2 linked regions of the Oreochromis niloticus genome follow. The main gene of each other region encodes a partner of the protein of the gene in region 2 in a complex. Links are inferred from orthologs where the notes say so. Each region holds a gene or a part of one and is shown on either strand. Other genes may lie near its edges.

What was found.
Region 1: timm21 (region 2) and timm17b share a complex: the UniProt entries of both Homo sapiens proteins name them as parts of the TIM23 complex. The link is inferred for Oreochromis niloticus from reciprocal best matches to the Homo sapiens genes TIMM21 and TIMM17B.

The regions. Positions count from the first base shown.
Region 1 is NC_031984.2:10,674,844-10,683,473, forward strand, and holds the start of timm17b (mitochondrial import inner membrane translocase subunit Tim17-B), read right to left. Parts: upstream 3,585-8,630; 5' UTR 3,525-3,584; coding exon 3,499-3,524; intron 2,280-3,498; coding exon 2,180-2,279; intron 2,096-2,179; coding exon 2,032-2,095; intron 1,901-2,031; coding exon 1,772-1,900; intron 1,585-1,771; coding exon 1,474-1,584; intron 799-1,473; coding exon 713-798; 3' UTR 1-712. Other genes in the region: pqbp1 (polyglutamine-binding protein 1), read left to right, coding at 4,844-4,910, 5,008-5,119, 5,383-5,483, 5,663-5,881, 5,967-6,024, 7,001-7,151; gpkow (G-patch domain and KOW motifs-containing protein), read right to left, coding at 7,619-7,750, 7,844-7,929. UniProt on the Homo sapiens protein: Essential component of the TIM23 complex, a complex that mediates the translocation of transit peptide-containing proteins across the mitochondrial inner membrane.
Region 2 is NC_031974.2:20,962,734-20,970,642, reverse strand, and holds timm21 (mitochondrial import inner membrane translocase subunit Tim21), read right to left. Parts: upstream 3,562-7,909; 5' UTR 3,368-3,561; coding exon 3,079-3,367; intron 2,668-3,078; coding exon 2,605-2,667; intron 2,520-2,604; coding exon 2,422-2,519; intron 2,297-2,421; coding exon 2,223-2,296; intron 2,120-2,222; coding exon 2,014-2,119; intron 857-2,013; coding exon 764-856; 3' UTR 493-763; downstream 1-492. UniProt on the Homo sapiens protein: Participates in the translocation of transit peptide-containing proteins across the mitochondrial inner membrane.

The sequences.
Region 1 (8,630 bases), on a different chromosome or scaffold from region 2:
ATTTCAGGAAATAAGAGACTTTCAGGTTTTTAAAAAGTGCTTTGTTGCTTTATGCGGCAATTAAAGTGACAAATGGTGCACAGACAACAGACTAGACAAACACTTATAATCAACAAAAACTAAAAAAAAAAAAAAGTTTTGCTGAGTTTCTACAAAAATAAACTCAAATGTCCTCTTTAACACCTCACAGGTAAATAAATATTAATGTTAATATTCGAATAAATATCTTTCTAATGCAAAACTTTAAAGATGTGCAGTTTTCTTATTTTAACTTTCTGCCTTTCAGTCATTAAAATACATAATCAACCCAAGTATAAGATCTTTGGAAGCATAAAGCAGTTTTTGGATAAAACTAATTTGGTTCCTTGAGCAGTGTCTCCAAGAATACAAATGGGCTGAAAATTATTTATTTTAATAGATACATGTTGCTATAATGACTAAATTAACTTACTATGTGGTTTTGAGAACTACACATTGAAGAAAATAATAATAAATATTGAAAACATTGATTTTTCAGGTGGTGCAAACATGAGGAAATTATTAACATTTACTCATAAATAACTGAAACAGTAATTTGTCCCTGAGGTATGTATTAGCATCCAGTAGGGACCAGTATCTCCACCTCTTGGTCATCCTGGTAGATGCTGTTCATGTGCTGGCATTCCTATTATCCTTTCAGTTGTCCACAGCTGGCTTCAGTCCTGAACCTTCTCTACTGAAACTGCCCCCTTTGCCCCTGATGTTGATGATCTCCATCCTTTGGCGGTAACTGACTAGGGTCGTCTGCAAAGGGAATTGCTGGAGAAATCAAGGAAGAAGACACAACAAAGTCAGTTTTTCATGCTTCACTGGCATGTAATCAAGATATAATCTATGTTTCCCTCAGGAACATTTATATGAATATTACTACTGTCTAGGTCTGCTGTGCTTTCAGGCTTTTTGGTTTGGTAGCCTTCCCTCGGCTCATCTCATCCAAAATAAGATATGTCTCAGCAGGTTATCTAACTTGAGCCGTGCTGGAGGAAACCTGATGCTCATACATTTGACTGGTTATTCACAGTAACACTAAAAAAACTATTTTAATAGTCTCACATTCTTCAGCATTTTTTATAAGTTGTTATATCATTAACATTGTGAGAAATTGTGTTCTTGGGAAAAATTAATCAAACAGGAAACACAAATTAAACTGCACAAGAACCTTGAGAGAGTGGACGATTTTCCTCAGGTTCTTTAAAACATTTTGATAGAAACAAAAAATGCTACGAGTGTGGTGAGGGTGAGTAAAAATGGGACCAGTGAGATGAAAAATGTTGCCCTATGCCGAAGTCCAGCCATAACTGAGGAGTGGACGCCAGTACAGGGGTATAAAACCACTCACACATTTAATCATGTGACATTTTGCTAAACTACTGATAAACCATTGGTTCTGTGCAGTTTAAATATCATTTCTGAAACATAATTAACTTCACTCACGGTTCTGAAACTGCTGCGCTGTGTATCTGGTTAGGAGAATCCCAAAACCCTCAATGAGAGCGAGCAAAATCCCCCCCATCATTGCAGAGCCCATCATTGTTAGAGGTCCACCTGAAGAAAAATGCAATATTCAGCGAGTCACACTAATTATCCCAATGTAGAAACCCAATTGTAAAAAAAATTGGAATTTTGTTTACATTTTACACAGCGTGCCAACTTTTTCAGAATTGGGGCTGTATTTACTGACACAGAGAGACACAGTGGTGTCTTGTTTCTTTTGAGCTAATGAGCTCCTTACTGCGTGCTGCTAGGATGGCTCCAGTCAGCGCACCACTGGTTATAGAGTTCCAAGGATCCTCTTTCCCTCTCAGACGAACCAAACCACAGTCGATTGTGGAAAAGAGCCCTCCCCATACAGCAAAGCTACCTGCAACATAAGAAGTAACCAGACTTCAGCTACTTGTATGAAGCTAACTGTACCTAAACAATTTAATCTACACAAAAAATGGTATATTACTAACTAACTGCCATGTGTAACAAAAAACAGGAACTCCTTACCTCCAATCTGTGGAGCTCTAACTCTCACTGCTTTTGCACTCCCTTTCAGCCGGTGTCCGACACCCTGAAATATTAGAGCTCAGTTGAATTCTGCCTTTAACAACCTGACAAGCCAGAGAACAAACAAAAACCTGTGTTTTGAACTCACAGCAGGGGCATTTCGAAAGCCCTTGACCGCCTGGAACACCCCTCCTCCAATTGCACCCATTGTGAAAGCACCTCCACAGTCATCCACTATCCTCCAGGGGCTGGGTTAAGAGAGAAATGGATATTTATGTGACAGGAAAACTGACAATGGGGATATATCTGACAACTAACATCCAGTACATATACAAAATGCAGAAGTTATCTATCGGGGTCTGGATGACGCCGAAGACAATATGGGCACAGTTCTGGCCGAGAAATGTATATTACCCAAGGATGAAGAACTAGCTCCTTAAATATAACTAAATACTCACCTCTGAGTTATGTTTGTGTTAGAAAACATATCAAACATCATAAATGAATATGTCAAACAGCAGTGAAAGAACTAATGAGGTGGGGAGAAGGGAAGTGACAATTTAGTATTCTCCTGCCATAGCCCAGGTTTGATATGTTGTCCATTCAGAGATGCTATACTGCACACTTCAGTTGTAAGGAGTGGTTATTTGAGTTACTGCTGCCTTCAGTTCAAAGCAGTCTGACCACTCTCATCTGATCTCTGACATCAACAAGGCTTTTTCAACCATATAACTGTTGCTCACTGGATATTTTCTCTTTTTCACGCTGTTCTCTATAAAACCCTAGAAATTATTTTGTGGGGAAAAGGCTGTAGTTAAACATTTTCGAAAATATTGAAAAGATCGGCCATTCTGGCAAAAACAATCATGTGATGTTCAAAATCAATAAAAATCAAATGTTTGAACTTCTCCAGCCTGAACTTCAGCAATGCGTCATGACCATGTCCATATGTCTAAATGCACTAAGTTGTTGCCAAGTGACAGAATGTAGGTTTACATTAATAAGTAGGTGGACGGGTATGCCTAATGAAGTGGCTGATATCTGGATTCTTTATCCCGTTCCTTTGAACTCTGTCATTAAAGTTTGACTTGTAGGGGATCAACCTTGACTGGAGGTGTGTCTTAACTTGATAAATAAATAAATAAAGCTTCATGTACTGCCTGTTTGGAACCATATTTTGAGATTAAAATACCCACTATTTTTAATTTCTATCCTAACTCCAGCTGTCACTTAAAAACAGCGACATTTTCAGATAAAGGTGACTCTACCAGCTTATTGTGTGTGCAGAGGGCGCCTCCATATAACAGCTTTATCTTTTTTATATGCCTTAAATAAGCAGGCCGCAACACCCACAGAGCCTTTCTGCTCACTCTCACATCAAAACTGAGTATGAAATTAAAAAGTCAACACTTGACTCCAACTTAATTAGTTCTAAAATAAAAACAAACGCTTAAATTCTAATCTTACCAGGGCTCTCGGGCATACTCCTCCATGTCTGTTTACGTCGTCGTCTTCGTCAAGAGGACGTGATTACGTCATCATTAAGCGCGCCGTGTATGCTGTTTTGGAAAGAGGTATCGTTAGCTTGACGATAAAAAAGGGCCACCTTTTTTTTAAAAAAAGGTAAGAATTTAATTATTTCTTATTGTTCAGTCTTTTGAAGTAAAGGTTAACATTTGTGTTTGTGTGGTGTGGATGCTTTTTGGAGACGCATAGTTTGGTTTATTGCGTTATTCTTACATCTGCAGCCACGGATGCACCGCAAGCGTGTTAGTTTCTTGTTAAAGGAAACATTTCGTATTGTACATGGTACAAATTATTACAAAGAAAACATATATATATATATATGTATGTGTATATATGTAAATACATATATGGACATACATATAAGACAAGGAGCTAGTAAAGTTTTACCTGGAATTCACGTAGGATGGCCATATAACCTAAGAAACTGATTTATTTATTAGGATTGTGAAGTTACTTTAAGTTTTATGAGCAGAGGATTACTTTAAATGATGACAGGACACATAACAGTTCAGGAGTTTAGTCATTCTAAGACCTACCAGGATGCATGCTTTAAACTACAATTCATGGATATCATTGTGATATCGACATCAAAACAGCCAGCTGTAATGTATTGCAGGAAATGATGGTCTACAGACGTGACAAGTCTGCTGCAAAAATGTGGTTCTGGGCAGTGTTAAAGCTGCTGTTGATAGAATTATTACAGTAAAGGCATAATCTCCGCTTATCAGAAAACAAGAAATGTCCTCAGAGAAAATGGACAAAACAAAATAATGATAATAATAAGAAGAAGATGAAGAATAAAAAACAGGTAAATATGGGAACTGTTTCAAAACCAAGTGTTCAGTAAAGTGTGAGATGAATAGTGGACCAAAAATATTAAACTTAATGATGATTAAAAAAAAACAAAATTAACAGACTTGCAATTTTGTGTCTAATATATAAAATAACCCATTAAAGTAATGAAACTGTTACAAAATGTGCTTATATTAAAGATCACTAAACTATATAATGGTGGTAATCATGTGCATTTTACTTTATGGCCACATGTGACTCAGTGGTTTGTGTGTAAGTGATGAGTTTCTATATGTCCTAATTAATCAAAGGGTACATATTATTGAAAGTAAATGATATGTATTATATTATCTGATTTATGACCAATCTAAGACTATTTTAATACTGTGTAATAATGTGTTATGAGCATTTGTTCTGCAACTGTTATTTTGGTACCCCAAGTGAATTTCAGCCGTAATATGAACAGTGTTTCACATGGACTCCGTCTTTCAGGATGCCTTTACCTCCAGCACTGCTGGCCCGATTGGCCAAGAGAGGGATTGTTAAACCAACAGAGCAAGGTAGTATAACAGATTTCATATTTGGGTCTCTGTCCTTCATGGATTTCTCCTAATGTTTTGTGCTGTTTAAAAACCTTTTCCCCTTCAATTAATCCAGGGGCAGATGAGGAGATTATTGCTGAAGATTATGATGACAACAATGTAGATTATGAAGCCACCAGAGTGGAGAATCTACCACCAAACTGGTACAAAGTGTTTGACTCTGCTTGGTATGTACACTTAATATACTATAATTTAATATAATAAGAATTTTATACTTTAATTCAAAATGATTATTATAAACTTCACAATCAGAATGCGCTAATTACTTTTTCTTTCTTGTTTCTCATTTTATTCTTGAGAAGTCAAATTCTCCTTGAACATTATAACTACTGTCATGGAGAGCTAAAGTGTATTTTTAAACTGTTAAGTAAGTTTTATTTAATTTTGTGGTTACAATATTAATCACTAATGTTTTATTTTCCTTACACAGTGGTCTACCTTATTACTGGAATGTCGAGACAGATATGGTTGCCTGGTTATCCCCAAATGACCCAACTGCAGTAATAACAAAACCTGCCAAGAAAATAAGAGGTATGCTTTTATTCAGCCTCTATAATGTAATGTTTTCAAGAGGCACTAATGATCACAATTTCAGTCCTCTTACAGTAGACGTGTGTTACTTTGCATGTACAATCTCAGAATACAGTTTGCTTTTGACAGATTTCAGCCATGGCTAATCTTGTGATCCTTGCCTTAACTTGTGTTTTTAGTAGAAGGAGGAGATGAAAAAGGCGAGAAGCAAGTTGAGAAACCAGACAGAGACAGGGACAGAGAACGACACAGAGACCGGGATCGGGAAAGGGATCGAGATCGGGAAAGGGACAGGGAAAGGGACCGGGACAGAGACAGAGAGCGTGATGATGGGAGGGACAGAGACAGAAGAAAGCAGAGAAGAGATGAGGCAGCACCATACAGTCGAAGCAAAAAAGGTAATGTTTACATCTGATTCATTACATGTTTACACATCGGCGCCTTTCACATGATTAAATATTGAACACCTAATATTTTTTACAGGTAGAAAAGATGACGAGATGGACCCCATGGATCCAAGTGCTTACTCTGATGCTCCAAGGTACAGTACAGATGGTCACCTTGATATAAGCTATATACGGGTCGTTCTCTGGTACTCCGATTTTGCCAGAATCATTGTGTTGCACTTGTTGAAAAAATAGTTATGAGAGACAGATCAAATCAATTCCCATCATACATTTTTATCTTAGACGAAAGAACTAAACCCTCACACAGCACAGCTACAGTGTTCGAGTGTGTCCCCTCAAAATTCAAAATGGTAATCAGCAAAGTTGATATCCCTGGTTTACGGAGCTCACATAAATCTACATTTCATGCAAGGCACAATACCTCAACAAGAGGCAGATTTTATTGCAGTAGCATAATGTTCATAGTGAACTGGATTAGGTTTCCTCCCATTTTCATAAAAGATGCTCTGCTAAAGAGGAAAATATATACAGGATTGTAGCACATTTCCTTAATATTTGACCAAATTTGACCAGCTTTTATCACAACTCACTTATTCCCTTAAGCATAAAATAAAGACTTGTAGAAAGGCCTCATATCCTTATGAGCTCTCAGCCCTCAGAGTGGGAACGTGTGAACACTGGGAAGGGGCCATACACTTTATTTTTTTAAAGAGCATTTTGGCTTGGCATGTCAGAGAAAGCACAGGTATAAAAACAACTTAAAGAATGGCTCCATACTACTTCAGCACGCTAGTTCCATACCCCTTGTATGTGCAGTCAGTCTTATTGTTGCTGTAAATGCAACATACTGTAGCCATCATTAACTAAATTTACCCCATTTGCAGTTTTCCTGCCACCATGAGCCAAATTCTCTGCTGTGAAAATGTCTATTAAAAAAATCTACACCTCCAGGGTTTCTGTTAAAAATATTCCTAAAACAAAGCTGAGATTGTCATTGCAATTTGATCAAGGTTGTTTTCTCAGGCTTGACAAAACCCCTTCTCAGCCACAGAAGACATTGTAGTGCTGATTACAAATGCAGTTAAAACACAAACGTATTCATTTTTGCAGGGGGTCGTGGTCAAGTGGGCTGCCCAAACGCAATGAAGCAAAAACGGGTGCAGACACCACAGCAGCGGGGCCTCTCTTCCAGCAGCGTCCGTACCCGAGTCCAGGAGCTGTTCTTCGGGCTAACGCAGCAAACCAACTACCCAAGGAGTAAAAGCAGATACCATGAAGACAGCATCTTAAAACCCACAACTCTACAGTTGGTCTTCATTATGCTCACATGCTAAACATCATAGTTTGACAGGCTTTTGTTTCATTGTGAAATGTGTACATGTCAGAAATGAAAGGCTGAACTTTTTGGACAGCTACTCTATTCATACTCCTGCCGTGTAGAGCATTTGTAAATATGTTTTTATATGACCCAAAGGTTCACTTCTCATTGTTACTAGACCTATCAGTGAACATGATAATAAACTTAAGACTACTGTGAAAATGATCTGTTGCAGCTTTTTCTCAATTGTTGCATTGCCATATGTACAAGGAAAAAAAAATCTTGACAAGTTTTTATTACAAAATTGAAATCTTTTAAAGTCCATAATACTTGAATAATGAAAAAAAATAAAACAGCTGGGATGAAGTGGATGGAAAAAGGACAGTGAATATTACAGTAAACATCCGAAATCAGTGGTCTGCTGCTGCCCCAACATAGTGACAAATGGAGTCATAGTCTAATGTGAACACTTTATCCTCGTATCTGTCGAGCTGGACCATCGCTCTGCACTTGTTCTTGTCCCGCTGAAGAATACGGCCAACCTGAATCAGGTGGGAAAATAGTGATCAGTAACAGCTAATCAGATTTAAACAAATACATATATATATGTAAAGCAGTGAGGTTACTTTGCTCACCTTTCCCTTGTGCTCACCCAGTACCACCATTACAGAATCATGTTCACTTTTTGGGACAATAGTTTCCAGCATGTCCTGCTTCACATCTGCCACAAGAAAAGAAAAAAGAAACGCTGGGTCATTCATTGAAGAAATTCTACAGTAATACCAACTAGGCAGCACTCAGGAATAGAGCCAGCAGATTCTGACATTTATGTTTGCTAATAACCAAAAAGGAAAAAGAATCAAATTAATCCCCAATCTGGGAAGTCTGGTTGTCAGATTTAAGTCAGCAGACCGACCTCTCAGGACAACAACCAATGCTTCCACTATAGCCAGCAGATATCTGTGGTAAGAAGTCCTGTTATTATTTTTGCAACAAATACATTTTAAAGAACAAATAAAATGTAAAAATATTATTCCAACTCAAGGTTATATTTTGGCAATAACAATAATCAGTAATCCCTCGCCTTGCTCTTCAACAGGACCATTTACCTGTAAGTAATCTGCAAACAGATTCTTGTCCTGCGCCTAAAGATTCTGAGCACTTTTATGATGACATGATTTTAAAGTGACTGATTTGACATGATAGCATTGTGTAAAGTTAGCTGTTGGAAAGCACAACTGCAGCCAGAACAATATGAAGTTAATTTCAAACGAAACACAGAAACAAAACTTATCATGACAGAAAAGATCTGAGTATAATCCTAACAGATTAAAACTGTACATATCTCTCAAATTAACTAACTGTAAACAGTATAGAAGACTGGTTATTCTGCAGATTCAGTAGTGCCAAAAAGAATAGTTC
Region 2 (7,909 bases):
GAAACGTGAGATTTTAAGATATAGTTATGCAGTGAGTGAGTTTGTAAAAATTTATGGGGTCATTGTAACGCTGTAGGGCATTGTACTGAAAAAGTTAATAAGTGTGTTGTAGAGCTCTGTCCATGCCCTTTCATATGAAGTATTACTCAATATAGTTCCTTGAATTCTCCCACCCCCCTGTCCAAAGATTAACTTTGACCTTGGAGGGCTAACAATGAAGGTCCCCCAATGAGAGTCTAATCTATTGTTGGGAGGTTTGAAGCCAATGTATAGTGGGTAATATAAAGTTTTTACTGAATTTCACATTTGATGTGAACTAAAATGAAAACAGCTTAAGCTGCTATTGGTATCTACCATCACACAAAATTTGAAAATGATATGTTGAAAACTGTGGACACTTGAATGCTAACGAAGAGACAAACAAACAGAACTTATTACATACTTCCTTCCCTGGGAGGGTCCAAAACACACACACGCTGTTTCAGTCGTATGTTTGTTCCCAAGTGTTTTATTGTATTCAAATTTAAGATATTATTTCAAAATCAAGATCACAATCTAGTCAAAAAACAAACATTTATAAATTAGTAGCATGGGGCCACGTGATCCTTTGATCTCTGCTTTGCAAGGCTCTACACCAAAGCTGTAATTGTTTAACAGCCTCTGACAGTATGTGAAGGCAAATTCTCCAGCTTTTCTGTCCAGCAGCACATCTGACACACACTCCTCATGCTTCCATAACGCTGAATCACACGTCTTATGGTCCTTATCTGTTATCTTCCACAATAATGGTCCGTCTTGGGTAGACGTCCATGTCCACAAATATATAACGAAACTCATATTTTCCAGTTTCAGGATTCTGTAAAATCAACAACAAGAAGACTGGTTGATTAAACACATATAAAAACATCAGCGATGTGATGGCCATCACATATGAAACTAGGTGAAGATTTAGGAATACACACAGTGCCACTTACTGGGGATTTATGCTTCAGTGTGAAATCTACCCATCGAAGCCGTTTTGTAACTGCAAAATCCTCTGAAACTATGACATAACCTGACATGCACATGAATCTAACTACATGTCACAGCCCGCAACCACTGTGATTGGTCTGTCCATTACAGCCGATTTCTTCTGTGCATTTTTGGCTACTTTTTTTGCAACGGCTTTTCAATTTAACTGTGAGAGAATAACAATCACTGCCTCAATATGGGGAATAATAATTACAACATCAACATAAATTTACCCGTAATACACCCGCACAAGCATAAACGCTGGCAACAACGAGCCTACGATAGGTAGGTTACATTGTAGGCCCCACAAAAGCATCTTTTCCACTAGGACCTACTCGGCTTATCTCAATTTGAAAATTACTCAATTTTCTATTAGTTGGTAGTACTTGTTACTAGGTACTTTTTGAGTACCTACTAGTCTGGATTTCCAAGCGAGCTGAGTCAAGCTGAAAATATGACATCAATAGACCGCAAGCCACTGATTGAGCAGCGAGTGACATCACTGGGTGAGTCATGAGAGCAACTCCTTCATAAGAACACAAACCAACAGCGTGGTCCAATGATGAGATCCAGAGTTTTAGCGTCAGTTTGGTAGCAGGTAAACAATTGGCTTGATGCCCTCCTGTGAAGGAGGTGTGTGGAGGGGTGGTGCAGTGGGCTCGAGGGCAGTGGCAGGGTGGCTGGCTAATTATGCTCTCCCTATTTAGTGATGCCAAAACCTGGAGTGATGAGTGCAGTGCTGGTTCACATCTCCATTTTTTGCATTGTGTTTGTGTCACATACAAATAACGCCATGGGACTTCCAGGTCGCCTTGCTACAGTGACCCCACCTACATCGAGGTGGTACTCAAATATGATTGAAAATGACCGAAACTGAATAGAGCAGAGTCGAGCTGAGTAGGTGCTAGTGAAAAGACACAAAACATTCACCGCAGAAGTGTCAATCAGTGCTTGTGCATGTATGTATTTCATAAGCTGGCTTTTGAATGGCAGAATACCAACCTCTTTAGACTCTGTATGCACTGTCCCCTTCACTCCCGGCTCCGAGCCCTCAATGTAAAACTTAAGTCTCATATGCTTCATTCCATCCTTCAGGTACTCGATATGACTGAGGAGAAGAGACAAAGACTGCCATTATAGATGTTAAGGCTACCTTAAATAAAAGTGGGCTTTGTTGCTGAACTTGTTTGACAAATTAACAAAACACCAACCTGACTTGCTGCCTCCTTCCTCGACGGGTGGTCTCCCCGTAACATTTGATTGGCTCACCAAATGCACCAATCACCTACATTTTCAATAAACAAGAAACTTTTTATATGACCTCATAAGATCATCAAGAGGACCTTAAATACCGAACTGTAACATTGTCAGCCTGGCCTCATGTTTGACAGTCACTAATATCGCTCGTACTTCTGGGTGTGACTTGACTTTATCGAAGGCTCTTCCATACACTTTATTTGGACTCGCGGATGAAAACAGCTCTTGGAACACCACATACAGCAGCCCACCTGAAAACACACACAGACGTCATTTCAAACAGGATGATGAATTGCCTGGGTTATGACTGCAGCTTTTAAATTCCACTGTATTCACCTGTCACTCCAAGCCCGATGAGTACCACGATCAGGTAGGTGAAGTCCCTGCCAGCTTCTTTCACTGGAAGGCATTCAGTGTTGAGGGTTATTATGCAACAGCTGTGCATAGTTTTCATTTAAATGAGCAAAGTTAGAGTCTCACTAATTAAGGCAAGTGTTTGTTCAGTTATTCAGTAAATAAACTCCTGGGCCATTTTAAGATATTTCCTCTGCTGCTGGTGATAATCAGAGCGATTAATTTCCAGATATAAGCTATAAATACAATAATCGTGTATTTTTTAGTCCCAAAACTGCTGCTGCAGTGGGATAAATCACTGCTTGGTTAAATATACTATATTTTCTCCACAGTGCCTGCGAACAAAGCCTAATGGTATGCTTTGAAAATAGCAGGCTATCATGAAACTACGCTGCTAATATCTGAGTACATATATTAGCACGACTTAAATCCTTTTTATTTCCTTGCCTTGCATACCTTTTTGTGCAGCTGAAGGCTTTGGACTCCCACTCTGGTACTTGGACACTGACCTGTCTCGGTCCTCGGGGCTGCTTTTATTTCTGGCTGTAAAGTCGAGACAAATACCCCGCCGTCTGTGTGTTTGTATTAAGCAGCTTAGCACAGGCGAATTAGCCTCTAGTCCACTGTGTAAGGCCAGTCTTGATAATGTTGACACTCTCCTGTGCGTCTGGATAAGCACTCTGACCTGTGGTGCTCTGTGCTGCAGATTTCGGTGCAGGACCTTCAAAACCTGAATATAAGCCATGATTTGATTTGAGCAAGCCCCTTCCTAATATCGCAAAACTACACTAACCAGCCTACTGTGTGGTTTAAGTAAACAAAACGGACTTAGTATACATGAATTCACAGCTCACAGCACTAAACTACTCCAAAACACTGGGCAACAGGACTGGGTCAAGTCAGTCGCCGGATTTGTGCTTCACCGGCGCACAATATTGCCGTCACTCACCGTTAAAGCGACAGAGCAGCAGTGAAACGTCACTCGCTCGTCATCATCGTCTACAGCAAAAACGTCTTCAACAAAATAAAATAAAAAGTCCGAAATCGGCTGAATAGTCAGGTGATAAAAAAAAATCTTTAAGAAAAAATTTACAGTTACAACTAGAGAATGCATTTCCTGAAGAAATTGCAGTATAAGAAATATTTGGGAACCTTGTTAAATTTAACTGACATACACCAAATCATTCACCTATAAACCAAAGTGCTGAACTGTTGAAAGCTGAAGTTCACACAGACGGCGAAGTTTCAAAGTTGGAAAGTAACTGAACATCTTCAAAATGTACATTAGAAAAAAAAAACAACTGAGTAATGACCAAAGAAAATTTAGAGTCAGAAAAAATCTGAATTAATATTGAAATCTCATATTCTTTAAATCACTTTAAGAGTGGAATTATGTTTTTTAAAGGTCTAAACATAAGAATCTCAAATTAAAAAAAAAAATCTGCAAAACATCTGCTGTGTGTGTGTCTGTGTGTGAGTTTCAGCAAGTGAGTGAATTACCATGTAAGAGGGACATCAAATGAGCAGGTAAATTAGTTTTTAATAGGTTTTTTTTAGACCCTTTTAGACGTTTTTTTAGACGTTTTGCTACAGTCTTCACACAATGGGAAGTGTGCTAATTATGAATGTATTTGTCAGTTTTGGAGGTAAGTTGAATTTATGTGCCACAGACACTGACAAAATCTACTGCAATTTACTTCTGACTCCATGCGCTCTGACGTAATTTCATACTTCAGTTAATGGTTGTCATGTCCAAATGGTCCAAATAGACTCTGGAGCATTAGAAGAAGCTTTAGAGTAATTTTTCAGAAATTAGAAGTACAATACAAAAGGTCAAAACCTCTACTGGGAAATTTGATTGGAACAGGTTTTGATTTTATTCACATATTACACAGATGTGTTGCTGGCTGAACAGGCTCGGCAAGAGCAATGCCGTGCCTGGCCTATGTTCAAGTATCATTAAAGTTAGAGCTTGTAAAATCTCACCATTAGATGTCAGTAGATTGCAGATTCCAGTCAAGTGAATTCACTTTTCTTATCCCTCCTAATTCAAGTCTATAAACCAAGCTACAGTAGCTCTGCTAACTCTGGTAATGCTGACTGTCATTCAGTATATCTTTGTTTAATCTCTTTATTTGCTTTTTGGACAAGTGAAGTTACAAAAATCTCTTGAATCATATTTACTTTGGTGGACAGAAAATAACCTTTGTAGACTTTTTGGGGTAACTTGTCAAAATGTAGCACTTTAGTATTGATTTTTCAACAATGAATTTTCTGCTTTTAGCTGTATTTAGCAACCGAAAATATTATGGCAACACTGAGAAGACAAATCATTAACATTGTGTGGTCAGGAGGTGTAGGTGTTGCTGTCTTAGTTCTCTCTCTGTAGCAGAACTTGAAAAATCTGAGTCAGTTGTCCTGACCAGTTCCTGTCTGAGGTTCAGACCATCAAGAACGTAACTATAATATTGAACCTGAAGTATGATCTTCCTACCCACCAGGGAACCGCTGTGGGTTCAACTCCTCCTGCTGAACTCATAGAGCAGCAAACCACCAGTCCAGAGACAGACCCTAATGTAGCATCACTTTCATCACTCACTCCTGAACTCCTGTGAACCATAACAAAGGTGGCCTCTCTAAACATCAGTAACTAAGAAAACATGGCAGTAGGTATCCTAGTAATTAATGACCTCATTATTTAGGGTATTATTATTATTATTATTATTATTATTATTGTTGTTGTTGTGCTTTACACAGAGGTCTCTCCCTCTGGACTGTTTAAAGGGCCAGTTTACATCCTGTCAGCCTTCAAATTTATGCATTAGTCCCCTCCACCATTGTTTTGCTGCTCATGTTCACATCTACAGTAAGAAAATGGAGATAAGCAGGCAAATAATATAAAAAGACGATGCTGCAGGGTGACTTTCTGTCTTTTCTGATTCACCAGCTTGTATGCATCTTTTCACAGGAGTGACTTAAGGACACCTGTAGCCTACACTTATCTACTTATATGATAAATAAAGTTTAGTGTAATGTAGATAAAGTGTTTTCCTTTAACTTGCATAAAGTATTTCCATGGAGACCGTTCTAGAATTCTGCATTAAATAAATAAAATAAAAATAAATCGGACTTTAATTTAATTTAATCAGACTTTAAAAATAGCTCATCTGTACAAGAGAAACCATTGAGTTCAGAGTTTTTTCTTTCTGCATTTCACATTACACAATTTACGCAATTTGGATGGTATTTGACAGTTTTTGTTCCCGACTGTGATTCAACAACAACATTTCAATTGAAGCAAGTAGAGGAATCTACAAACCCATCAGGGTATGTGACAGTTTTTTTTCCTTCTGCATTTTAGCAGTTTAAAGAATTTGATGTAGTTTTAAAAGCTGACAGACTGAGAATAAACTTAAGTAACAATCAGTAACTTCTTATTTCTTTGACAGGTGCTGTTCATGTCGAACAACACCTGTCAAACACACATTTACGACATGGCTGTGAAGATCTGCTGGCATCTTCTGGGCTACAGGGCTCAGGTAAGACTGAGATCCATCCAAACCAAAGCTGATGTAAAATATCAGGTGATTTCTCAGGACCTGAGAGTGGTGATGTTTAAATGTCTCCTTTTATTTTTAGATTGCAATGATGATGGAGTTCCTCAGACTTCAGCAGGAAAGCAAAATCCCATCACACATCACTGCTGAAGACCTAAGAGATTTTTTGGTGGAGAAGAGCAAACAGACACTCAGAGAGCAGTGAGTAACTGTGATACTGACCATCCACCTCAAACATGACAGTCTGTTTGTGATGAAGTGTAAATGCTGAGAGAAAACCTCTGTTTATTTTCTTTTGAAGGCTTTGGGAGTTTGAATTGGGGGATTTTGGAGACAAAGAAGCCAAACCTCTTCTGAAACTAGTGAGACTAGAAAACTCACAAGACTTGTAGTAACTTGGAGGTTTATTTATTTTGTTCACATAACATCTAAACAAAACTGCACTGTAAATGTGTTTTCTGTTTCAGGTGTGGGCAGTAAATGCCATTAATAAAATTTTCCAGAACCACATTTCCAGAGTCCATACCTCCTAAATTTCAGTGAGTTACATCTGACAATTATTAACAGTCCAGCTACAGTTTCTGTGATGCTTTACACATGTTTAAAAGATCATTCTTATAAAATTTTTCTACAGAACAACTAAACTCCTCAGCATGGTGAGAAATTACGTTGAGATTCTTAAAGAGAAGCAGCAGGTACGGCATAGCTCCAAACTGCTCACTGCAAGAGGTGATAGAGGTAGTTCCCCGCATCTTACAGGGCTTCTGGGAGCTTCCTCCTCGCCCCCTCTTGAACATGGCCTCCCAGAGTTTGATCATACTCTCCACCAGTGTCACAAAGGCCACTTTGGATCGTGTCACTAAAACTCTTACAGCGATGGAAAGCAGGCCACCGTGTCACCATTGAAAGGGAAATAAACAGGTTTTCCAATGGTGTAAGATTTATTGCCCCAAATCATTGTTACAACAAAGAAATTTTCAACCAAAAACTAATTTGCTACTTTTTTACATAACACTGTTCTCTTCAGGACTTTCAGATATGAAAAGTATATTTACGTGGATTCACCTGTGTTTGCACCATTTTGTTATGAGCTGTTGCATTTGTGGACGCCAAAGAGAAAACTTTCATAATAATGGCTGGATACTCAGCTGACTATACCTGTCTTCCGCATGTAGCACAAGCGTTTACTAGTATAAAGCTGTAGAATTTCAATTTACAAAGCCAGTTACCAAAACTGTTCATGCTTCCATGAACCATTGAGCAAGGCATATTGCTTGATAGATGCTATTAGGAATGCTTTCAAAAGGCATCAACAGCACAAATGCAGTGGATATCATTCACAGAACAATGTTTTCAAAAAGGATGTAAACATTTTTATTTCTGCTGTTATTATGTTGTTATTATTATGATTGTAGTAATTTGACATTTTAATATGTTTTAAATGAGACAAAATTAAATGTTCACACTTCAGATGTTTTGGTAAATCCAATTTTTTATTTGATTGGTCACTCGTAACTTTTTATGGGTAAGATGTTATAATAACCTGGTTCACTCAGAGACGCCGTCTCCTAAAAATCTTCTTTAATTGAGTTCAATTCAATTCAACAGTATTTACATACAAATGAATTGAACTGAACTGAATTCAAGAAAAAAACCCAACAATCCCCTATGAGCAAGCACATGGCGACAGTGGGGAGGAAAAACTACCTTTAAAAAGGTTCAGGGAGGGG